4 linked regions of the Mus musculus genome follow. The protein of the gene in region 3 interacts with the protein of the main gene of each other region in a biochemical or structural test. Links are inferred from orthologs where the notes say so. Each region holds a gene or a part of one and is shown on either strand. Other genes may lie near its edges.

Region 1 (6,185 bases), about 64 Mb from region 3:
TTCACGGGGCAGGACTGGTGGTTGCACAGTTGGGCATCAGCTGTGTGACGGATGACACTGGTGGCTTGAGCCTTAGGAAGAGGAGGGGCAGCTAAAGGATTCTTTTCCTCCTCTTTGAAAGGAGTGGCGCCTGGAGGCTTGGCAGCATCGGAGAAAGATTTGAAGTGGCCAGTAGATGGCGCTGATGCAGTCAGATTTGACCCTTGGGAGGGTTCGAAGTCAGAGGGGCTGTAAGGTGGCGTTAAACACTACAAATACAAACACAAGCAAGGAGAGGAATTAGAGGTCCATTATGTAAACTCTTAAAAAATGCTGTCACTTCTACCCACTGAAAATACTTACAAATGCTGGGACTGTCTGAAGGTCAGGCGTCCCTGGAAGCAAGCTGTCATCCTCGGAGGTATCAGACACTGGTGTGACAGGCCTGTTTTCAAGGTATTTCTTGAAATGAGACTTCCAGTCGCAGCTCATGGACATGAGCGCTTCCACCGCTTCAAAGTCACTCTGCTCAGCTTTGTCCCAGGGATGCATCCCCTCTCTGGGCTTTTCAGAAATTAGTTCCATTTTCCCCTCCTACAAAAACAAAAGTTGAAGCTAATCAGTTATCTGGTTATCCAAACCGCAGGAATGCCCAATGCTTGCTATTTTATTTCAAGGTTAAAGGCCACCTTATTACCAGTAAGGGAATTAAGACGAATGTCTTAAAATGTAATTTGACTTAAACTACTTCCAGGTTAAAGTGGTATCTAGTTACCTAAAGTCTGAAATTGGTAACTTCATCACATACGGTGGAGATTGAGTAAAATAAGTGGACACACACAAATACAGCCAGGCATGGTGGGATACATGTATAATCTCAGGAATGTGGAGGCCAAGAAGTTGGAAGTTGCATCTCAAAATGCAAAACACACAAAGCAACCAAAGAGGAAAAAAATATTTTATTTTGGTCAAGTCTCAATCTCTTAATATCTATGATTTTTATCAGATTTATTAAACACAATGCTTTTCTGTACCATAAGGGACCAGACAGGCATAAAATATGTTCTTGGGATATGCAAAAACAAACAAACAAAAAACCCCGAGTACAAGTTGGTTTTAATTTAATTAAAACATGATTTGATAACCGATCATGCTCTGTGTGCAACACCTTCGACCTAATGTCTCACATTAAAAGTTCCATGACCTGAATTTCAAAAGAATCACCAACCATCTCTACTTTCCTCTTAAAAAGAACTTCCAAATTCTTCTGGTTAAAGTAGAGGTTGCAAAAATTATGAAAAGCCTCATAAAGTGGGGGAGCCTGGAATATAAGGCTCCAGGCCAACTCTGGCTATATAACTAGTTCAGGGCCAGCCTGAACTCATAAAGACAAAGCAAAAACCTAATACATAAATAAAATGGCAATGATAATCTTAACGCTTTTCTAAAAATGCCTATCTTCCTGCTGAGTGTGGGAAAACAAGACACGGTTCTTGAAACATCACTAACAATGTAATTGCATAATCGTTCGCGCCTTTATGTAAGCTGCAATGGATGAAGACTGTAAGTGTAAAAAGCCTATAGTCACCAACTCAAAGAAAGAGGGGTGGGAAAAAAGGCAGCCAGGGGTGAAGAATGTGAGCCGGGAGGGGAAGCCGGGAGGGAGCGAAGAGCTGGTGCGAGGCAGGAAAGGGAAGCCGGGTGGAGGCAGAAGCGAGGCGGGGCGGGGCGGGGCGGGGCGCGGGAGGCCGGCGGGGGAGATCCTCGCTGGCGGGGACCGACCGATGGGGCCGCCCTAACCTCAATGAGGCTGGCGGGTGAGTCACCGGGAACACTGCCCGCCGCGCGCACGTCCCCGCGCCCCGCCCCTGCCATTGGCCGGCCGGCCCGCGGCCCGCGTCCGGATTGGCTGGGCGGGCAGGGTGGGGGCGCGAGGAGGAGGGGGCGAGGCATGTGAACAAAGCGTGATCAGCGACTGCTCCGGGCGGCGCAGGAAACGTGAACTGGGAATTGCCGCGCCGTCACCTTTCCCCTACTTCCTGAGCACGGGCCCCCGCCCCCGCTCGGCCGGGGAGGGGCCGCGGGCGCCGCCGCCAACCGCTCGCCAGTGCGCGCCGGGCGGCGCGAGGGCTGGGCGGTGTCGGCTCCCGAGTCGCCCGCCCCTTCCACCTCCTCCGAGCCGCGGTTCCCTTAGGAACCGACAGCAGGGCCGGGCCTCGTTCCCGCCCCTGGCGGAGGCCGGGGCTGGGTCACTCGGGGACGAGAAGCTCCCCGGGTGCACCCGTTCGCCGCCCATCCCTGGCCTCCGCCTCGGCTGCGGGAGGTGGGGCCGGGTCCCCGCGGAAGCCCGACCGCCGCCCTCCTCCTGCTCGCCGCCTCCGGGGAGCGGCCGGAGCCTGGGGCACTCCGCCCACTCGGCCCGCGGGACCTCAGCCTACCCGCATCTGCAGCATTCGTCCGACTGCTGTTTCCGGCAGCCTGAGCCCCCGCAAGCAGTCTCTGCAGGCTCCCAGACGTGCGGCGCCCACAGCACGGGCTCCAGGCGCGCGGCCCCACGGTTCCCGCCTCGACACGCGGCCCCCGCGTCTCGCGGTCCCGACTCCCCCGCCAAGCTGTCGGGCTCCAAGGCAGGACCCTGCCCCCTGCCAAGAGTAATCTATAGGCAGCCACCTGCCTCCGCCTCGGATGGGGAGTCCCCTCCCGACGTCTGCGGGGGCGCCGCGGCTCCCCTGGCGGCCGCAGAGTCCGCGTGCCTTCCATACCCCGCGCGAAGCCGGCCATCCCCTCCCCCAGCCCCGGGCTAGCCCAGCCCCGCGGTCTCCACCTGGCAGGGTTTCCCCCTCCCCCGAAGAGCAGGCGCCCTCCTCTCGGCTAGGCAGACCGTGAGTAGTCCTTGTCACCCCGGGTCGCATTCCTGGTGCAGACAGGGGCATCTCCCGCCAGAGCCAGGTGCAGGGCGCCCCCTCCATCTAAACCGCGCTTCCAGGGAGACAGCCCCTCCAGCTCACTCGTCTCCTGGGGTCTCCCTGAGAGTCCTCCTTGTCTCCTGGATACCCAGGATCGCTCTCCCCTGGTCCAGGTCCCAGGCTTCTTCCGACCCTTTTTTTTTTTTTTTTTTTTTTTTTTTTTTTTTGCACATGCCCTCGATGATATTCCAGCCTGCAGGGAGGAAATCCCTTGCAAGACCCCGCTGCAGCCTGGGTTCTCAGGCGTGGCTTATTTAGGGGCTCATGCTTCGCGCTCCGGCTGGCTCCCCTACACTGACCGGCAGGAAAGGACCAGCATCCTCAGGTAACTTACCGAAGCTTGCTGGAGAGAAGCGCCGAAGTTGAGCATGGTTGGCTGCCTGGCCGCAGGTCGCGAGCTGCCTGGCTGCTGGCTGCTTAGTTAGCCACAGACGGGAGCACTGAGACACTAGACGTCGACGCCACCGCGCTCCGCGCTGTCTGCCCCCCTCCCCGTGCAGGTAGCCGCTCTGCCTGCCCCGCGCCGCGGGCGGGGTAGAGGGCGGGGCCTAGTGTCGACCAATCAGCGGCAAAGGTGTGTGAGGCCTCAGCCAATGAGCTGGCAGAGCCACGCGTGATCAGCGGCTGCCCGGCTGCAAGAGGCTCTGTCAGTGGAGCGTGTACACAACCCGAGGCACCGTGTTCCCTCGGTCCAGCCCCGGGGAACTCCGGGGACCACCTGACTCCGTGACGCCCCTCGCCCAACCCTAGCCTTCAGTCCTCCGCCCATGCCCGGGGGCGGCGCCGGCGGCGGGGCATAGCTGGGAGGCGCGGTGGCGGCGACTAGGCTTTGCGGAGAGCCGGCCCCACGTGGGGGGTGGGAAGGGAAGCCCGCTCCGCCCAGTCCCCTTCGCGCCCACAGCGTCTGGGCCCGCCAGGGAGTGGGCGGGACCCCGAGCAGGAGGCGGAGGCGGAGGCTGCGAGCGCGGCTCCGAGCCACCAGACGTTCTTTGGCAGCGTGGTTCTCGTGGGTCTTGCGTGGAAGCAAGGGATGGATGAACCACTGAGCGGCATTTCTGAGCATTTGCCGGGTTTTGTCACTCTAAGCCGGAGGACTGGGGAGAACCAGGGCGAGATGGTGGCGGCGGGAGCCCTGTCACGGAACAGACACCTGCTCGCACTCACCGCCCACGCCCAAGGCGGCAGGCGCTGGCTCGTCCTCCCATCTGCAGCACAGGCACTAGCAGCAGGGCCCGCCTCTGCGCGTCCCTCCCGTCCTTCTGGGCGGTTGGAGTGGGGACTAAGGGAAGCCGGTACCAAAGAGCTAGTGGCGTGGCAGGGAGCCCCAGACCCGACGCTCGGTGGCAGAATCGAGTTTGAGTTTGATGTAGTTGAAGTTTAAAATACAATGTTCGAGCTATTTCCAAGGTGGACTCCACTTCCCCCACCCGCGGGACCACAGTCTTCGCCGACGCCCTACCAAGAAACCGCTTGAGGGGATGGGGTGAGGAAAGCATGCTTGCAGGTGGGATTCCTGACCCGGTCAAACATCGAGTTCCTGTCCCTGCCCCCTCCACCGCTCCAGGGATTGAGGGCAAGCTGAGCTTCTTAGGGAAGCCAGCTTGTGGGTGCAGCAGCCCGGCTGAGGCTGTAGCCTCCTAGTCTGAGAGCTCTTGGCTCCTCGTTGGCGCCCTATTGCCCCGCCCCCTCGCCCGTTTGTGCGGGTTCACGGCAGCTGTTGGAGCCGGAGGGAGTGATAACGGGGCTTAAAGCAAACTAGAGATTTTTATCTTCTCCCTGGGACAGGCAGATCATGAGACAAAAGTCACTGCCCTCCTGTGGGCTTTTTCAGCCTGCTGGGCTAAAAGGGCTAAAGCAGGTGCCCTTTCTCAGTCACCACAGACTAGGTAAAGGAGGGAATTTGTTTTAGAGGCCTCCAGCTCTACCAACATCTATCTGATGGTTCCTTCTGGTATACCTAAAGCCAGCCAGCAACAAATGTAATGATAATAACGTGGGCCAGAGAAGCCCTGGGTGGGGGTGGGAGTGGGGGAAGATGACTGAATGGCCTCCTGTCACTGCCTGCTCTGAATCCGCTGGAGGAGCGCCAACTCAGCAACCCAGGCAGCTCTTCCTGCCTCTCTCCACCCGGTGCCCTGCTTCTGTCTGCAGGAGTGTCCTTCCCTGCAGGCTTCCTTCCGCTTGGGCTGGCCCATCCTGTTGATCTGAGTCTGAAGGGCTGGAGCAGCTGGCCTGGGCACCTGCTGCAGCGCAGGAAGCTCTTGTGTGTGCCCAGTGGCAGGCCTGCCTGCCTGCCTTCCTGTCAGGGAGCCGCCTCCGGGAGAGGTCACAGCCAGACCCACCAAGCCTGAACCCTGTGTCTGGCGTGGTGCCCCCACACCCACTCTGCAGGCTGAGTTGTAAGGAGCGTTTGGGACTTGGAGTGATCACAGCAGGAAAGAGGAGAGAAAGGGGTAGGAGAAACTGGGTAGTGGTGACCTGGAGATTCAGAGAAAGCCTTCCCCAGGCACTTCAGACCTAATATCGCCAAATCTAAAACTCCTCTTTCTTTGTGGTCTTAAGGGGTGATCATTGCCAGTCTAGCCACAGTTGCCTCCCTCCCTCAAAAACTTAAGTGAGATCTAGTTAGTCCCCAGCTCTAGACAGCTTTGCCTCAGAAACACCTACTTACTGTTTGTTTTACAAGGTACTCTGTCTGCCTGTCTTCACCCCCCTCCCCCCATTTTGTCTTCAGTAACAGGGTCTCACTATGCAGCCCTGGCTGGCTGACAAATTCTGTGTAGCCCTGGCTACCTAGACAACCCTCCTGCCACAGCCTCCCAAGTACTGGGCTAATGGGCACCAGGCAGGCACTTGGCTCAGTGTTTCACCTCTAGCTTGCACGAAGCTATTTCTGTCTGTAATCCCAGGACATCCACCCACATCACAACTTGTTTTCCAGAGCCCAGATGCCATGCTTAAACTTAAGATCACAACAATCCCTACTTAAATAAATTACCTTTGTCTATTGTTATCGGGAGATAAAAGGCTACCCCTTTATGAGCTAGGGGTCTCCAGCTACTCATTCAACTTTTCAGCCTTTTAGTAAGTTCTTCCCTTGCCCAGAGCCATCATACAGTGCATACATCTCCATGCCACACCCCCATTCAATAAGCACTGTCCTTCAGGCCTCTGTTCACTGATGCATTCAACCAATGTTATTGAGCATCTGCGTATTCTAGGCCGGCCAGTAGACTGGTC
Region 2 (6,092 bases), on a different chromosome or scaffold from region 3:
GTCAGATTTTATTTCAGACGCCCCAGAGGTACTGTAATACATAGTTCTGATTTAAAGTCATTGGCAGAAAGCGGTGGAGGGATCTGGAAAGTGGTTTCTGACCTACGCTTCATAAGTCTAAGTACATAGCCCTGGCTAGCCTACAACTCCTGATCTCCAGATCAGGCTTGTCTTGAACTTGCTGTGATCCATCTCCCTCTATATCTCAATCGCTGAAATCAAGGCGTCTGCTACCACTTCTAGTCCAAACCACACTTTGTAGAGGCTCATGCCTGTAATGTCAGTATCCGGGAGACTGAGCCAGGAGGACGGCTTAGAGGTCAAGACAAGCTAAAGTTAACAAAGCAAGAGCCAGGCCAGCCTAGGCTACACAACGAGACTCTGCTTCAAAGAAAGAACGGAATAATATTTCGTACAGGATCTTGACCTCCAGAGCATATGGAATTTGATAAGCCCTTCAGTTAACCAAAGTGTGGGAAAGGTGAAATATTTTGGAAGAAAAGCTTTGAGGGTTTGGGGAGATGAGTTAAATCAGTGAAGTGCATGCTGGACAAACATGACAACCTGTGTGATCCCCAGCACCCACAGGAAACCTACGTGTCAGGTACACACTGGACAGCCCAAACTGGAAAAGCACATAGGAGGATGCCTGGGGCTAACAAGCTCTACGTTATTAAGACGTGTCCTCGCTAAAAAAAAAAAAGAAAAGAAAAAAAAAAAAAAGAAAAGAAAAAGAAAAGAGAAAGGTGGAGAGCCAACAAAGACAGATGTTGCCAACATCTGGACTCCTTACATGTATGTATCTGCACACTGCAAATTCATACACAAAAAGGGCGAAGAGACTGGAAACTTTGACAACAGCTCTGATTTAGTGTGGTAAAGATCTACAGCAGAGGCCAATCTTGAGGAAGTTTAAAAAAACTACAGCAGCAGCAATAACAACAACAAAACCCTTAACAGTTAAAAGCAGTCACTAGAAATCTCTTTGACTGTACATGTACACAGAGTATAGCGGAAGACCAAATCAGGCTTCAGCCAGCATGAACCAGGCTACGATGCTCTGGAAACTCACGTTGACTTAACAGTTCCTGCACCCCTCCGAATCTCTTCTTGAAGAGAACAGCTATTCCAGCACCCATTCGACAATCCTCACTGATACAATGGGCTAGAGAGTCTGTTTTGGGACATGCGAAAAGATCTCCTTTCACGTAAGTGATCTAAAACGTGCAAAGGAAAAAAAAAAAGGTTAAAAACAGAAAACTATTTCTCCTTTCAGATCTTCAACAGAGCCCCACCCCCACTGCTTCAACCCTGCTTCTCTGACACTCTGAATTAAAGACAACTCTTCCCAACTTAGGAGTTAACCACGATATTTTAAAGTATCTGTAAAAGGAAAGTGATGGATGGTTATTATCTGCCTAGGGTTGTATTAGCCTTTTCTAAGTAAATCAGCTAGAGAGAAACAAACAGGGAGGGGCGAGAATCCAATTATTGGTTTAATTAAAAAGTGTTTATGCTTTTGACCTCAATTATTCTGATTTTCACTTCACCGATAAATTTAATAGCTGTTACGCACTCGACTTCCTTCTGGATCTTCATTAAGGCGGGTGGCCATGCTACTGAGTCGCTATTTCCAGAATTTAAGAGTTCCTTCTGCTAATGAAAAGGAAAAGCAAGTAAAAAAATACCGCTCAGGCAGCCCGAACATAGCGTGTTCAGATCACCCTGACAACCCATTTAGTCTTCCCCACCTCCTTAAGGTATTCTTTCTGGATGTGAGCTCACTCAGCCTCTAAGAGGCAACACAAAACAGCTTTCCAGGAGCCGAAGCAAAGGCGGTCCTAAGACACACCTCCTTACTTCTAGCAGGGAAGGTTTAGGACAGTCCAGAATTTTCCCAGAGAATATAGCTTAGAACGGGAAAGACCTGGCCACAGTTACACTGAGCGGCAGGGTGAGCCGAGAACTGCTTCTCAGGGGAAGATCACCACCAGTCTTGGAGGTACAGGAAGGAAGGTCTGATAAGACTTCCCCGTCTCTCCTCCTACCCTAAGGAGGGCAACCCTGGGATCCCGCAGAAAAGTGGGTACTGGGGGGTCATCCTTCACCTGCAAAGGAATCGGCCGTCAGCAGGCCCTCCTCCAAGCAGGGAAGGGTTCGGGATGAAACCCTCGTAGGTAGGAAAGCAACAGAAGAGTCCCGACACGCAACAAATCCCGCCAAAGCCTTTTGATTGTACGCACACTCAAGATGGCCGCCCCCATCCCTTAACGGGGCGGAAGTGAGCCTCTCTAGCTGGGTAGCGGCGCCCGCTCTCGGTAGTAAGGGCTTCAGAATTTCCGGCGGGAAATTCCGTAGGCTCCCGCTACCGCTCAGGCATGCGTACCGAGATGCCGACCCCGACTGGAGAAGAAGAGCGCTTGCGCATTCGGCCCCAGAGGGTGGGTCCCAGTGGACGCTTAGAAATAGGTGGGCAGGGGGGCGTGTCAGCGCCTGCGTGGTATATAATTCAGGGAGGTGTTTAAGCAGCAGCGTACGGAGCGTGTGAAAGGCGCCTGCGTAGGCCTTTGGCGGGAGGCGGTGTCAAATCCAGGAAGTGGGTGTGGCCTCTGGAACGCCTGCGCGGTGCTCTTCCTAGGGGGCGGGGCCAGGCTGGCCGGGGTTATGGGGCGTGGTCTCGAAGGCGCTTGCGCGAAGGCGGTTGGAGGGAGGCCCGATTCCCCTTTGTTCAGATTCGCCATTTTGCGAGGCAGCGGCAGTGGCGGCGGCAGCGGCGGCTGGAGCCTCTGATTGGGTTTCGGGGTCCGGTACTGGAGCCAATCAGCGCGGGCAGCGAACCGGGGGAGCGAGGCACGGTGAGTATGAGGAGCCAATATCCAGCGGCCCAGAGCCGGCCCCAGCGCCCCGATTGGCGGGTCTCGCTGACCACTCAGGAGAGGCCCAGGCGTCCGTCGAGCCCGGGAGTCGAGCCGAGGCTGCCCGAGCTGGGTAGCCAGTAGCCCCGGCTCGGAGTTGGTGGAGGCCTGCAGGGGCCGTCCAGCGTTGGGACGGCGTCCTGGAGCCAGGCTTTTCGGGATCTGGATCGTCTCCGGGGGCCGGTGGCGGATGCGCCACCGGTCCCCGATCCTCGGTCCCGAGAGGTCAGGTGGCTGACCGCCCAGCCACGGACCGTGGCGGTTTCCCCACGTCGTTCCAGCCTCATCCTACGGCCTGTCCTTGTGTGTCCCCACATTCCGGGCCCCGACGAGGCCCGTGTGTCCTGAGCTCTGCACAGTTGGGGCTACAGATCCGGAGCGAGGCCAGACTGAGACGCGCGGCGCGGCCTCCCAAGACCCACCCCGGGGCCGTTGGCGCGCCTGCCGCGCCCCTCCTCTCGGCCCGCCACCGGGGCTCCCGGGCCGGCGCCGTTACCACCCCTTTCTGGCTCGTCATTTCCTCCCCGCTCAGCCCGCGGTGCCGGCACACCTCCGTGCTGGAGCCCAACCAAGCACTCTTCCTCTTTTTGCTCAGTGTCTCGGTGTTTGAAACGCCGCTGTTGCAGAACTGATAACCCTTGTGCATCCTTAATGATTGGGGGCACACATCTCGCAGTTCCTATTATCCCTGTCTCCTCCCTTGATCTTTTCTCCCTTGGATGCTCTCTGGTTTTGTTTTCCTTTAATCTCTCCACTCAATAGCTCGGCCCACTCGTGTCTCTTTTTTCTAATACACCTTGAAATCCCGCGCGAACGTTTTCTCAACTGATGTTTTAAAACTTACACGTGCTTAGATTTTCTTTCCCCCTTCGGGGGACAGGAAGTCTTCCAAGGACTGCTAGCTATTAGTCTTTGGCGGACGTCACCCAAGTGCTGCAAGCGAGTAGGGCTAGGAGCTATGTCTGCTCGGTGGAGATTGACTGGTGTTAGTGTTTCATAGGGATCTGATCCAGTACCCAGAAGTGCACTTTACATGAGGAAGCCTATTTTCAGCGCCACGCTTTTGATTGGTGATGGAGGGTGATGTCCTCAGAGAGGAAAGACTGAAAAGAGTAACTGGAACAGATAGTGCGGTTGGACGCAGAAAGGCCGGGAGTACTGAGTTTAGGCGGGAAAGTCCAGTTGGTAAAAACCTTTGCAGGTCTTACAAAGGAATTTTTTGAAAACGGTTTTGACTGGAGGTTAAAAGTTAATCTAGAGTGGATTTCTCCCCTAACCTTGGGGGTGAAGGTTGCTGACCTGAGGATTCTACCCCATAGTCTTGTATTTGGACTGGGTGTTCTAACTTTGATTGGTATTTAAAAAAAAAAAATGGATGCATATGTCCACCTCAAAACTGCCAAATGTTTTTGTGGACAAAAGGCAGTTCTCCTCAGTCACTGTGACTCAGACCTGTGGAGCCTCCACTGGTTCCTCTGCATCTGCACTTTAAGAAAAAGTAGTGCAGACTCTCGATTTCTCTAATCTAATCACAGCCCAGGCATCTCCCTTTGTTTGAAATACTTCACCCTATACTACCTTCATCTGGGTGAGATCTCAGACTTAAACCTAACTCACATGACACCCTTTCCCAGTGCTTTCCTTGGTTTGTCCCCAGTGGAAAAGCCTCTGTCCCCCAAACTCCATTTACTGTATTTCCCTTTAGGAGTCTAATACACATTTTTGTTCCTTTTTAGACTTAAAAGCCTCTTTGAAGTTAACTTGTTTTGTTATTTAGTTCATGCTATCTCCTTAGTGGAGACAAGGAGCACACTGGAGCCTTCAAAGGCCCTAGCTGGGTGTGTGTGTGTGATGCCAGGTCAGATGGACTGCGGTGATCAGATGCTTATTGTAGGAGCATTTCTGGGCATTTCAGCTTTTGAAGATTCTAAGTGCTGGCCAGCTACTTCTGTGCCATGTAAATGGGCAGGAAATGCTATGGAAGAGAATGTCTCAGAGGCCAGAATAAACCCATTCTCATTCCTATTCATTCATATTCTCACTTTCAAAAACACATTCACAAGTCTGTAGAAGAGCTAGACAGACTAAATCCAGCTGGCTCAATTCTGTCATAAACTTGGGCACAGAAAGCGTAAGGAAAGGAAGTGTGTCAGGTTGTGTCACAGTTCTGCTGGCTGAGTTGATGGAGGAAGGAGCATATGGCCGCACTGGAGCCAAGAAGTCGGCACCATGGGCAACCTGAGGGTTGTGCTCCAAGCGCCACCACTCCCTTATCAATGCAGAATGGCTGCTGGGTTTGAAGCTGCCTCCAAAGCCCAGTAGGTTTCAATGGCCTAAGAGTGGAGCATTTGTATCAGCAAGATAACTGAGTCAACTCCAAATGTTCCTTACAGCTATTCCAGCCCTCTTGCCCACTTCAGGCTCCATTCTGCATTTAATCTGAGACGATGCAGACTTAGGACATTTAGCCAAGAAGAAAGTTTTATAGGAAAGCGTCTTGGGGCTAGTGGAAGCGGTAAAATACAGAGGTTGTTAATATCTTAAAAAAAAAAACTTTAAAATCTAATCCTTGTATATCTGTATTTTGGTGAGTTTTTAAAGCTCTCCACACCTGTACAGTCCCACTTGAAAAAAAGGGTGAGAACTTTGGTCATCCCCAAAATGGTCGTAGAGCTAGCTCATCTATTCAGTCTCTCCCACCTCCTTCCCTCAGGCTCAAGGAACTCCAGTTTGCTTTCTGTCTAGGCTTCTGATGTCAGAGTTTCTTATCATGGGGCCATGCTTGCTTATATTGTAGCCCTACTTTATTAGTCTGGAGACAGGTACATTGTTAGACAACAAGGTAAAATTCAGAAACATTGGATGGACTGTAGTAGTACAGGCTTTTAATCCCAGCAATCAGAAGGCAGAGTCAGGTGGATCTCTGAGTTTGAGGTCAGCCTGGACCACCTGTTAGCACCCTCAAGCCCCCTCACCCCCAGTAAGGAAAACATTGGTGCCCTAGTGGAGCCACTTAGTTTGGCTGATTTACCATATTGGACCTGAGGTCTCAAGAACCAGCTCAGGCAACTGGCTCCAACAGGCTGGTGTAAAATCTGCAAACTTAGCCAGCTTTTCAGCTGATGGGATTAATAGTCAGAATATAGAAAGAGCTCAGAAATTACAAACAAAATAACC
Region 3 (5,612 bases):
TTTTTTGTACCATCTCCCAATTCTTCCTACCACCAAGCACATTAATGCCTCATGGCTCTCTCTTCCAGATGTCTCTTGGACCCATGCTACCTTGCATCCCGGGCTTAGTGGGTATTGGCCCATATGTCTCTGGCACTGGGTGTCTAATCTTAGAAACCATTGCCACTGATATTAATGGACTGCAGCTCTGTCACCTGCATGACGTTGATGCCACTGTTGGCAAGACGGGCAATACCCTCTGGACAGATGGCCTCCATGGCTACCATATTGGTGGTAATAAGGGCTGAAGGAGTGGCAGTGCCTTCTGAACCTGCCCCACTGTCCAGGGGCAATGTGCCCACACTCAGGGCTACACCTGGGCCTCCCTTCTTGTTCTGGTGAGTCTTGATATGCTTTGACAGGTGATCACTCCTCATGAAACGCTTAGGGCACTCAGGGCAGGCAAATTTCTTCTCTCCTAGTTTAAAAAAAAAAAAAAAAAAGATAAATTAGCCAAAAAGCAGTCAGAACAAAGTTGAGGTTGATGTGTATCCTTCTGGACTAATTCAAGTACTCTTGGAGACACGCTTAGTTTCACATATACATTGTTTAGGAATTTCAGTTTGCTTCATGGGCATATCATTTCTTTTTTCTTTTCTTTTTATGGTTTTAGAGCTTTATTATAGAAAGACAGAAAGAGAGAAGGTAGAAAGAGAGAGGACTGCCATGGCCAAGTGGAGAAAGGAGGGAAGGGAGGGGGAGAGCTGGAGATGAGAATAAGAGAGGTGAGAGCTTATGAGCTCATTTCTTTCTTTCTTTCTTCTTTTTTTTTTAAAGATTTATCTATTTTATTCATGAATACATTGTAGCTGTCTGAAGAGGGCATTGGATCCCATTATAGATGGTTATGAGCCTCTATGTGGTTGCTGGGAATTGAAATCAGGACCTCTGGAAGAGCAGTCAATGCTCTTAACCACTGAGCCATTTCTCCAGCCCTCATTTCTTTTCTGTCTACTACTTTCCCTTTTCCCTTGGGTCTTACTCACCTGTATGTGTACGTTTATGTCTCTGAAGCTCGTCCGAACGTGTAAAGCGCTTCCCACAATATGACCAATTACACATGAATGGCCTCTCCCCTGTATGCCAGCGCAAGTGTGCTCGGAGATGTGAGGTCTTGCCATATACTTTGCCGCATCCTTGGATGTGACAAATGTGCTGTTTCTTTTTGCCAGGATCTCCTGAGGCTCTAAAAATGAGAATATTATGATTTATCACTCTGGAGCTAGAAAGTAGGGAACCAAGAAATTAGAATAGTAATTGTCAGAAGCAATTACTTAACCCATTCCTTTGTTTTTGAGAAAGACTCTATGTAGCTCTGGCTGTCCTGGAACTTACTAAGTAGACAAGGCTGACCTCAGAGATCCATCTGCCTCTGCTTGCATAAAACTAGGTAGGATTAAAGGTATGTGTGCCATTATACCTGTCACTAGGACTTACTTTTATATGCCATTCCGAAGAAAGACACAAGTGGATCTTCGTGAGTTCAAGGGAAGACTGGTCTACAGATCAAGTTTCAGGACAGCCTAGGCCTGTCACACAGAGAAGCCCTGTATCTGTCTCTCTGTTTGTGTATCAAAATGTTTTTTAGATTTATTTATTTTATGAGTATTTTGCCTGCACATATGTATGTGCAACACAGCACACCGGTGCCTACTGAGTTTAGAGAAGGATGGTAGGTCTCCTGGAACTGAAGTTACATATGGCTGTGAACCACCACATAGGGTACTAGGAATCTAAACCAGTCCTCTGGAAGAACAATCAATGCTTTTAGCTGCTGAGCTATTGTTCCAGCCCCTGTTGTTTTTGTTGTTTTGTTTATATTTGGGGACAGAGTTTCAATGTATAGTTGAAATGAGTTTCTGGCTGTCCTGAAACTCACTCTGTAGATCAGGCTGGCCTCAAACTCAGGTATCTGCCTGCTTCTGCCTCCCAAGGGCTGGAATTAAAGGCAGGTGCCATCACACCTAGCTTTTGTTTTTTCAACTTTTATTTTTATTGGGAGCTAGAGAGACTGCTCAGTAGTTAAGAGTACTTTTGCTCTTCCTGAGGACTGGAATTTCATTTCAAGCAACTACAACCAAGTGACCCACACCACCAGATTCAAAGACTCTAAAGTCTTCTCTGGCCTATTAGCTGCATATAAATACACAAATAAAATTTTTTTGGCTTATTTATTTTGGAGACAGGGTTTCTTTGTGTAACCTTGGCTGTCTTGGAACTTGCTCTGTAGACAAAAAAAAAAAAAAAAAAAAAAAAGACTGTGGGATCAGAAATCTTGTAAAGGGGTAATATAGTACATTTGAGTAGGTCCTATTATGCAGCTCTTGTTTCTGACTTCTCATTGACTCTGATTGCTAGGTAAATGTTCTACCATGGAGTTCATCTCAAGTTTGTGAGTTTATTTACTTACTTTTGCAACAAGGCCTCATTGTATAGCCCAAATTACCATAGAACTCCTTGTGTAGAACAGGCTGGCTCTAAAAGTGGGATTATCCTTGTGCCTCTGTTTCCTGAGTGATGAGATTACAGATATACACTACCATGTCTGGCTCCACAGAATGTTTGTTGTTCCAGACAGAATCTCTTTTATTTAGCTCATGCTGGTCTTAAATTGACTTTTAGATTAGACAGGTTTCAAATCTGCAATTTTTCTGCTTCCAAGTACTGTGGCAGCAGATCTGTGTCACCAACAAATCTAGCTTCACTGACTTTCTTACATGAATTTTTTTTTTGTTTTGTTTTTTGCACAAAGTTCTATCCTATTAGCCCATGCTCTCTTTTTATTATTTTTTATGTGCATGAGCAGTGTTTGCTTTTCTTATGGGTGGCTACTAATTTTATGCTGGTGCTGGCACATGCTTTTAATTCCAGCACACAAGAGGCAGAGGCAGGTGTATCTCTGAGTTCAAAGCCAGCCTGGTGTTCCACAACAGCCAGGGCTACATAAAAATAAATAAATAAATACCCTATCTTGAAAAACTAAAACAAAATGAGCCACTCCTTCAGGCCTAAATATGAAGGTAAAAGAAAAGCATGGAGGCTTCTCCTTGTAATCTCTGCTACTCGAGAGACAGAAGCACAAGAACCAAAAACTCAAGGCCAAGATAGGAGATGTATCATCTGATTCCATGTAAATTAAAATAAGGAGCTTAGAGAAGAATTATAATTCAGAACATGGCCACTCTGGCAAGAGATCATATCCAAAGATCTTCTAGGTCTATGTGATCCGAGAACTCACTATGCCATCCCCATTGGAAGACAGGCTGGGATACAGACATGCCTTTAATCCTAGGAGACTGAGGCAAGCATATCTCTTGAGTTCTAGTCAGTTCTGTTCAGTTAATGGAATTCAGAGGCAGTTTACAGGGAGAGGTTTCCCCTCCCCTACAGAGACAGGTTGAAGAGAGTTATAATAAGCTAGACACAGTTAAAGACAGAACAAGTGGGCTGGAGAGATGGCTCAGTGGTTAGGTCCTGAGTTCAAATCCCAGCAACCACATGGTGGCTCACAACCATCTGTAATGAGATCTGATGCCCTCTTCTGGGGTGTCTGAAGACAGCTACAGTGTACTTACATATAATAAATAAATATTAAAAAAAAAAGAACAAGCTAGAGAATAAGGAGTCAAAAGGCCGGGCGTGGTGGCGCACACCTTTAATCCCAGCACTCGGGAGGCAGAGGCAGGCAGATTTCTGAGTTCGAGGCCAGCCTGGTCTACAAAGTGAGCTCCAGGACAGCCAGGGCTATACAGAGAAACCCTGTCTCGAAAAACCAAAAAAAAAAAAAAAAAAGAGTCAAAAGATTAGAACAGATTGCTAGTTAGTTTGAGGTAAAGCAAGGAAATTAAGTGAGATGCAAAAAGAAGCCCATTTGAATCAGTCAGCTTGGAGGGGAGTTCTGAGTCAGAATAGCTGAATTGAGCCAGCAAAAAACAGCTTACTCAGCAGTAAATCTCAGAGGCTGAAGGTTTCCAGGCCTAGTTTAAAGGACAATTATCTGGTGAATAAAAGTTACATTTACAGGGGCTGGGTGTGGTCTCACACCTTTAACCATAGCACTGCGAAGGCAGAGGCAGGAGTGTCTCAATGAATTCAAGGCCAGCCTGGTTTGCATAGTGAGTTCCAGAAAAACCAGGGCTACAAAAAGACACCTTCTCAAAAACAACAATAAAATAAAAGCTGCTGAGCTTGGCAGACCACGTGACTTTAATCCTAGCACTTGGGAGGCTAAAGCAGGAGAGGTCAAATAGTGAGATCTTGTCTCAAAAAACAAAAACCAACCAAACCAGAAAAATACAATACATATTGCAAATACCTGTTAAAAGTCCATTCTGACTCTTCTCCCCCTGCCCCTAACCTAAACTTTTCCAGTTTATAATCTTCCCTCCCTAAGCTTATCATTCCCACGTAACCCTGCCATTTAGACAGGTGCTCTCTTGCCTCTCATATTTATCTTTCTCACTTTCTACCCCATTCTCTCTCCTGTTATGGCCAAGTCCAATCTACTGGTTGTTATTTAGTCTACTTTCTCTCCTTGCTCTGAACTCTTCAGTGCCTCTGGCTGTACCTTACCTCATTTTATTTTATTTTTTATTTTTTGTTTTTCGAGACAGGGTTTCTCTGTGCAGCCCTGGCTGTCCTGCAACTCACTCTGTAGACCAGGTTGAGCTCCAACTCAGAAATTTCCCTGCCTCCGCCTCCCGAGTACTGGGATTAAAGGTGTGCACCACCAAGCCCGGCTGTACCCTACCTCTTTATCTACAATAAAAACCTTCCCCTCAACTACACCTTGGAGAAGTCATAGTCCTGTTCTTAACTTTATCTCAAAACCCTCATTTTATTTATATACTCCCTATGTGGGGTTAAATAGACACATGTGCCAGGTGTGGTGGCACACCTTTAATCCCAGCACTTGACAGGCAGAAGCAGGTGGATTTCTTAGTTGGAGGCCAGCCTGGTCTACAAAGTGAGTTCCAGGACAGCCAGGGCTATACAGAGAAACCATGTCTCAAAAAACTAAAAAAAAAAAAAAAAAAGACACATGTACTTATTATACCTCCTCAGGAAAAGTCTGTCACAAAACATGGGATTACAGACACGTGTGACTACAACTGTCACTCTCTTTCTCTTCAGACACAACAGAAGACAACTTGGGATACCATTACAGATGGTTGTGAGCCATCATGTGGTTGCTGGGAATTGAACTCAGGACCTCTGGAAGAACTGTCAGTGCTCTTAACCACTGAACCATCTCTCCAGTCCTCTCCTATCATTTTTTCCTCATATTTTTATAAGAAAGAAAAAAAAAGTAAAAGAAAAATTCTATAATCAAGAAAATGAACTCACCTTCCCTCACTGTCTTTGCAATAGGGGCATGTACATGCTTCCCGACGAGTCCTGCGTCCAGCTTGGGGTTGGAGATCAGAGCTATTCTCTCCTTCTCCACCTGCTGTCTCATCATGTATCCCATCACCACCAGATCCATGAAGACCAAGTTGAGTTCCATGATCACCTGAAATAAAAAGACAAGGAGAAAGGTGAAAAGGCAGGACTAAATAGCTACCGAAATTTCA
Region 4 (6,174 bases), on a different chromosome or scaffold from region 3:
GATGTTGCGGGCCCACTCGACGGCGCTGAAGAGGAGGCGGGCTGCCAGCTCGCAGATGTTCTCGATGCCCATGATGTTGTTGGGCTGCATGCACTGGCTGCCATAACGCGACGTGGGGTAGGGCTCTGCGCGCAGCAGCAGAGAAATGTAGCCAGACAGGTAGCAGTGGCCATTGAGAGGATCCCCGTTTGTGAGTGCATACTGGCCTGGATTGGGCTGGGTTGGAGGCATTCTTCCTCGCTGAACCGCTGATAAAAAGAAAGAGAGAAAAGAGGCAATGTGCATCCAGGGGGGCTTGTGAACATCGCCGAGCCGCAGCGCGCACCCAACGCACTGTGGTTCTTTCCTGCAGTCACTCGCTCCCGAAGCATCTTCTCCTGCTTGCTGGGTCTTACTCACAGATCACACTGCTAGGAGATCTAGGGTGAAGTCATCTACCTTCACCGGCTCCGTGTGTCCATCCATAGTCTGCATCCCTGGCTATTTTAGCTAGAGAAGAAGAACTAGGCCTGACTGCAAGGCCCCTAGCTCAGGATGGCTAAGAAAGTACCACCCAACCTCCCAGCTACTAAGAAGCAACACAGATATAAATGAAATCCTTTCAGAATGATACAAATCAAAGTTTCTCTTTTAAAAATGAAACCTGAGAAAGCCACAAACCTTAGAGTACTCTTCACTTGTAAACAAGCAGCAAGTGTATAAAATGTTCCCATAATCTCTAAAGTGCTACAGAATAATTTTTAAAAGATACAAGTTATATATATATATCTTACTGAGTTGGACTACCAGCAAGCATAACACACACCTCCTCCCATCTTCCCTCCTCCAGACTGCCCCATACAAATTTCTCACTATTAAAAGAAACAGAAAATTAAAAAATTTCAAAGAAGTTGAACTTACAGTAGCCAAACATATTGAAAAAAAGTAGGAACTACAATTAATGTCTGTCCTGTGCGATGCCACTGCAACCTGCAGCCAGCTTTGCCCAGTGAATGCGCGAGCTTGCAACTGCAAAAACACTGGATTCATTACCCATCTGAATGCAAAACGTAAGCATGCATTGAGTTCTTAAAGCTGACCAAAGTTTTTTTTTTTTTTTTTTAAATGTGTATGTTTTACTTCAACAGTGCCAGCATTTTCAATTGCCATGTAAACAAAGACAACTCTAGGGAAAGTTAGGGCTACTGAACTGCCATCCCCCAACAAATTAGTAGAGCGAGGTCCATGTCCACAGAGCTGTCCTACCTCAGGCTCTACATCATTTTCTTTGGTTCTAATTCCAACAAGAGTTTCAGTGCGGTTTACGCTCTTTGAAACACAATGGTTAGAATACTTTTTCTAATTATAGTTTTGAACTTGGCAGTTATTTTTCAATTAAATGAGAGCACAATTCAAAGTTTTTTTGTTTTTTTTTGTTTTTTGTTTTTTTTTTTTTCAGATGCCTAAACAATCTCCCTGGAGCTAGCAATGGAGTCGTCATATTTGCCTTCTCCTTGAGATCTGAAGGAATTCAATTTCTTTTCTTGTGGCATATAAAATATAATTTTGAAGTCAATTACAAGAAGAAGTAATCTATGTTCTTCGAAATTGACTGGTTCACTAATTTGACTATAAGATATGTTTAATGATTGCCAGGAGATAAACTTTAACTATAAACCGCTAAATATATTTGTAAGAAAAGTGTTCCATCTCATGCCACATGAATATGAAGCATATCCAAATTAAACATCAAAAGTTGTGCTTAATAAAAAAAAAATCTCACACATCGATTAAATGATGCAGAAGCTCAAGCCAGCTGCAGTCTGTGCATTATAGCCAGATCAGAAGGATCGGTAAATGCCGTTGTAAATTGTAATTTGTATGCAGTATTTAAGCAGAGGGTGGAGTTTGATGAAGAAATAAAACGAGTATCAAGCTTTAAAAATGACACTACTATGAAAGCAGGGTTCAGTCACAAACTTTCCTTTCAAAGTATAGGGGTGAAAACAAGGCCACAGCTCGGGAGGAGGCGGCCCCAGATCCCTGAAGAGGAGAGGGAGCCAGTGAACAGGCCAGAAGCCCCCCTTCCCCCCTAATTAGACCTACAAGTGCAATAAATCTCACTCCTCTTTTTCCAAGCTAAGCTTCCTAAAGGATGGTGGCAGCAATGAATCTATGGTTCAGGGTCCTCCAGCCCCAGTCCTCTCCCATTATAAATAAAAGGTACGATGAGGCAGAGGAGAAAGTAGAATGGGAAAAACAAAAAAAACCAAAAAACAAAAACACACACGGAGAGAAACGGTTTTCTGCAGAAAATCATCACCCCTCCCAAGTTCATGCTAGCACAGCCCCAAGCATCCTCACACACAAGCGGGAACGAGACACACACGGAGCACATCCAACAGAGGAAGGGAGGGATTTTTAAGCTACAGCTCACGATCCCAGGGACACAATCTTGAGCAGGCAGCGGGCGGGGTGGAGGAGCCGGGGAGAGGAGCGCAGGGCGGGAGGGGGAGGCAGCGGCAGCGAGCTGGGGGGGGGGGGACGCTGGGGGAGGAAAGCAGCGAAGACTGGGAAGCCCGGACCGGCTGGGACCACAGAAGCCCCATCCCCACAGCCACAGGCACCAAGGCGAGAGAGAAAGAAAGAGCAGGGAGGCGGGCGAAGCGCAGGGAGAGAAGCAGAGAAGAAATATTCACCTTCCCGCCTCATGCCCACTTTGAGGCACTTCTTGAGGCGGCAGTATTGGCACTGGTTGCGGTGGTGCTGGTCGATGGGACAGTTCCTGTTGGCACGGCATGTGTAAGTTAAGTTCCTGCGGACGCTCCTCTTGAAGAAACTTTTGCAGCCCTCGCAGGTGAATTGGCCGTAGTGCTTGCCGCTCGACTTGTCCCCGCACACCACGCACTCGATGTGCTGCTGGCTCTGGCCTGAACCGGGCGGGCCCTGGCCCTTGTCCCCTGCCGTGCCGGGGGTGGCGGGCGCTCCGGGCTGGCCCGGGGTCTGCGGCGTGTGCGGCGCGCCGGAGCCCGCCTGCTGCTGCTCGCCGCCGCCGCCGCCGCGGGCTGCCTGCGCTGCGGGGTTGGGGCCGCCGGGGTTGCCCCCGGCCACGTCGTCCTGCGGATCTCGCCAGCTGCTAACTACCATTGCCATATCTTTGGGCCCAGGGAGCGCTGGGGGGAGCCGAGCTGCTCGCCGAGGGCCGCGGGGCGCGCGGGCGCGCTGGGAGGGGAAGGGGAAGGGGAAGGGGGGAGGGGGAGGGGGCGGGGGGCCCACCGGGCGCCCCGGGGTCGCCGGAGCCGAGCCCGAGCCGGGCACCGGCCTCTGCCTGCGCCGCCGCCGCCGCCGCCGCCGTTACTGCCTCAGCCGCCCCGCTGCTGCTGCGCGCCCGCCCGCCCTGCTGGCGTTTTGTTGTGGTTCCTGCTGTTTTCTTTCTCTCTTTTTGCAGCCCCCCCAGGCTCTCAGGCTCCCCCCCCCCAACACCCCTGCTCCCCTCGCCCGCTCCCCCCGCACTCCGTTCCTGGGGGGGCCTCTCTCTCTCTCCCCCCTCCCCACCCCCCAGCGAGCGAGCTCCCTTCTCTCGCTTTTTTCTTCTTCCCCAACTTGCAAAATCAGAAATGGCACAGGCGGCAGCCGGGAGCGGCGCGGGGCGCAGCGCCGGGGGCGGCGGGCATGGGCCACGGCGCGCGCACACTCTCGCCCTCCGCCTCGCCCGCACCCCCGCGCACACACACACTCGCACACACACTCGCTCACCCGCGCCGGGCGCCCGCCCGCCCGCCCGCCCGCCCGCTGGCCGCTGGCCGCTGGGGCTACGCGCAGAGCGCGGGCTGAGCCGACATAGAGGAAGCGGCGAGGGCGGCGGCGGCCGCGGAGGAGGAGGTCGCGGCTGCAGACGCTGCTGGAGGAGCTGGCCGCCGCTGCGTGCTCCGCTGGAGGAGCCCGGGCCCGGGCGGGAGTCCGAGCCGGAGTCGGGGCCGCAGCCCGAGAGCGAGCCGAGGCCGGTGCTGCCCGTGCCGCCGCCGCTGTCCTGGCGGGAGCCCTCGCCCGGTTTCAAGAGTGCGGGGAGCTGGGAGAGTCGAGCAGGATCGGGACGAAGCTGCCGGCGAGGATCAGGGCGCTCGGGTGTCTGGGGGCCAGGTCCAGGGCCGGACGCAGCCAGCCATTCAGGAAGGCAGCGCTGGAGAGCGGGAGGCAGCCGGCGAGGAAGATCACACACTTTGCTCTTTTTGTTGTGCGGGTGGCGCCGGGTTCTCTCTGCCTTCTTCTTTCGGGAGGTGACGGAAGGGGGAGAAAAATACGAGATAATTCACGCCAGCGACGAATTCACAGCGAAATAGGAAAAAAATAAAAATCAGAAGAAAATGCTTGAGAAAATAAGGAAAAAGAGAAAGCGAGAGAGACATCCAAAGTAGGTCGAATAAATAATCCTCTTCTTTTCCTCTTTCTTGCTTCTTCTGCTTCTTCTGCTATAACACACAGAGCTAGTTAAAAAACCCTGGAGATCGCCCAAAAATGTTCTTTTTTTAGTATTTTAAATAAGTGCTCTTCAGCTGGGAACCAACACCCTCCCTCCAAAAAAAATCATATATATATATATATATATACATACATATATATATATAATAACGATAAGAAGAATACTGAGGGGTGCCTCCTCCTCCTTTTTTTTTCAAGTTTAGTCTTCTCTCTTCTAGAGGAAAGGAGTGAAAGAGAAAAGGAGGGAGAGAAAGAGGAAGGGCGACAACTAGTAGAATATGTAAGGAAAAGAAAGGGGGAGAGATAGGGCAAGAGGAGAGTGGGTGAGAGAAAGGAGAGGAGGGAGAGAGGGGCGAGAGGAGAGGAGAGGAGAGGAGAGGAGAGGAGAGGAGAGGAGAGGAGAGGAGAGGAGAGGAGAGGAGAGGAGAGGAGAGGAGAGGGACCAAAAAATTGAATGCGTTTAAACGGGAGGACACTCAGAGCAATGTTTCCGAAAGGGGGATCTGCGCGAATGTCTGTATATAGTGAACTTTGACACTACTATTGAAACTGACACGTTTCTATGGAGATCTCTGCCTTATATGGAGCTCGTGTCAAGGAGCCAAGAGAAGGGCTGCTGGCAACTGATAATCAAAGGCGACTGACTGGTCAGAGCCCTGAATGGGGGGTGGGGGGGGGGAGAGAAAATGGGAGGCTAAGGTTAGCCAAGCCTCCTTCACGCCATTGGTTGGAAAGTCCTTTTCCCCTCCCCCCAGCTACCTACAGTCTGGGATGTCGAGGGGAGGAGAAGAGAAAGTGAGGGGGGGGGTGCTTCTGACAAGCATAATTTACATTGAGATCGCCCTGCGCTGCTATTTACTCTGAGACCTGATTAGTATGGGTCGTGTATGGTCACACACACACACACACACACACACACACACACACACACACGAGGGGAAAGGGATGATGAGGGGAGAACGCGTTGTGATGGGAAAAAACGAGGAGAAAGAAATTACTGTATATCTTATGAAAACTTTTCAGAATTAGGTTTTATGAGCGTAAGGAGTGGCACTGAAAACGTTAAGAAAAAAATTAATGAGGAAAAAAACTCCATCATTTTAATGATTTGTGAAGTCTACTTGGTTTAGAATCTTAGTTCACATTCAATATAATCTTAGTCTGTATCCCGCTCATTTTATATAATTATGAAAAGCCTCCTCATTTAAAAATCTGAAGTATATCATAGTTTCGGAGGCGTAATTACGACAAAGCACACACATGAAACTGCAGCTACTGCCACAAATTCGATCCGAATCGATGATTCCTATTCATCCCAAAGATGATCTTAAAATAAACTTTCCAATCAATCCTCTTTTTCCTTTTTCATCATTTTTATTCCCAGGATGCTCAAACTCCAAACAATGCTTCAATGATTATTAATAAAGCATTTGTAACTCCTCATATTGTTGTGGGGCGGCTGTTAGTGCGGACAAGTCAGTCACAGGAAAAGAGCAAACGAACGAACGAGAAGACGGGGAAGAGGGAGAGGGGAGGAGGGGAGGGGACGAGAAGTGGGAAACGGAGGGGGAGGGGGAGGGGGAGAGGAGGAGGAGGAGGAGGAGGAGGAAGAGACTGAGTCTCTCACTCGCTGTGTGGTGGTGGTGGTGGTGGTGGTGGTGGTGGTGGTGGTGGTGGTGGTGGTGGTGGTGTGTGTGTGTGTGTGTGTGTGTGTGT

What was found.
Region 1: the proteins of Sp1 (region 3) and Klf10 form a complex in vitro, tested with the Homo sapiens proteins (2 studies listed by BioGRID). The link is inferred for Mus musculus from reciprocal best matches to the Homo sapiens genes SP1 and KLF10.
Region 2: the proteins of Sp1 (region 3) and Nfya form a complex in vitro, tested with the Homo sapiens proteins (2 studies listed by BioGRID). The link is inferred for Mus musculus from reciprocal best matches to the Homo sapiens genes SP1 and NFYA.
Region 4: the proteins of Sp1 (region 3) and Nr2f1 form a complex in vitro, tested with the Homo sapiens proteins (2 studies listed by BioGRID). The link is inferred for Mus musculus from reciprocal best matches to the Homo sapiens genes SP1 and NR2F1.

Annotation. Positions count from the first base shown.
Region 1 is NC_000081.6:38,297,280-38,303,464, forward strand, and holds the start of Klf10 (Krueppel-like factor 10), read right to left. Parts: upstream 3,433-6,185; 5' UTR 3,316-3,432; coding exon 3,280-3,315; intron 3,271-3,279; exon of another isoform or gene 3,138-3,270; intron 2,862-3,137; exon of another isoform or gene 2,688-2,861; intron 2,622-2,687; exon of another isoform or gene 2,433-2,621; coding exon of another isoform or gene 2,418-2,432; intron 1,797-2,417; exon of another isoform or gene 1,728-1,796; intron 1,543-1,727; exon of another isoform or gene 1,468-1,542; intron 574-1,467; coding exon 343-573; intron 249-342; coding exon 1-248.
Region 2 is NC_000083.6:48,406,389-48,412,480, reverse strand, and holds the start of Nfya (nuclear transcription factor Y subunit alpha), read left to right. Parts: upstream 1-2,660; 5' UTR 2,661-2,855; intron 2,856-6,092. Other genes in the region: ADP-ribose glycohydrolase OARD1, read right to left, coding at 1,073-1,217, 1,577-1,615. UniProt on the Homo sapiens protein: Component of the sequence-specific heterotrimeric transcription factor (NF-Y) which specifically recognizes a 5'-CCAAT-3' box motif found in the promoters of its target genes.
Region 3 is NC_000081.6:102,425,570-102,431,181, reverse strand, and holds part of Sp1 (transcription factor Sp1), read right to left. Parts: intron 5,552-5,612; coding exon 5,386-5,551; intron 1,226-5,385; coding exon 1,026-1,225; intron 458-1,025; coding exon 150-457; 3' UTR 1-149. UniProt on the Homo sapiens protein: Transcription factor that can activate or repress transcription in response to physiological and pathological stimuli.
Region 4 is NC_000079.6:78,195,442-78,201,615, forward strand, and holds the start of Nr2f1 (COUP transcription factor 1), read right to left. Parts: upstream 3,433-6,174; 5' UTR 3,133-3,432; coding exon 2,679-3,132; exon of another isoform or gene 1,763-2,678; intron 1,009-1,762; exon of another isoform or gene 914-1,008; coding exon of another isoform or gene 901-913; intron 727-900; exon of another isoform or gene 661-726; intron 249-660; coding exon 1-248. UniProt on the Homo sapiens protein: Coup (chicken ovalbumin upstream promoter) transcription factor binds to the ovalbumin promoter and, in conjunction with another protein (S300-II) stimulates initiation of transcription. Binds to both direct repeats and palindromes of the 5'-AGGTCA-3' motif.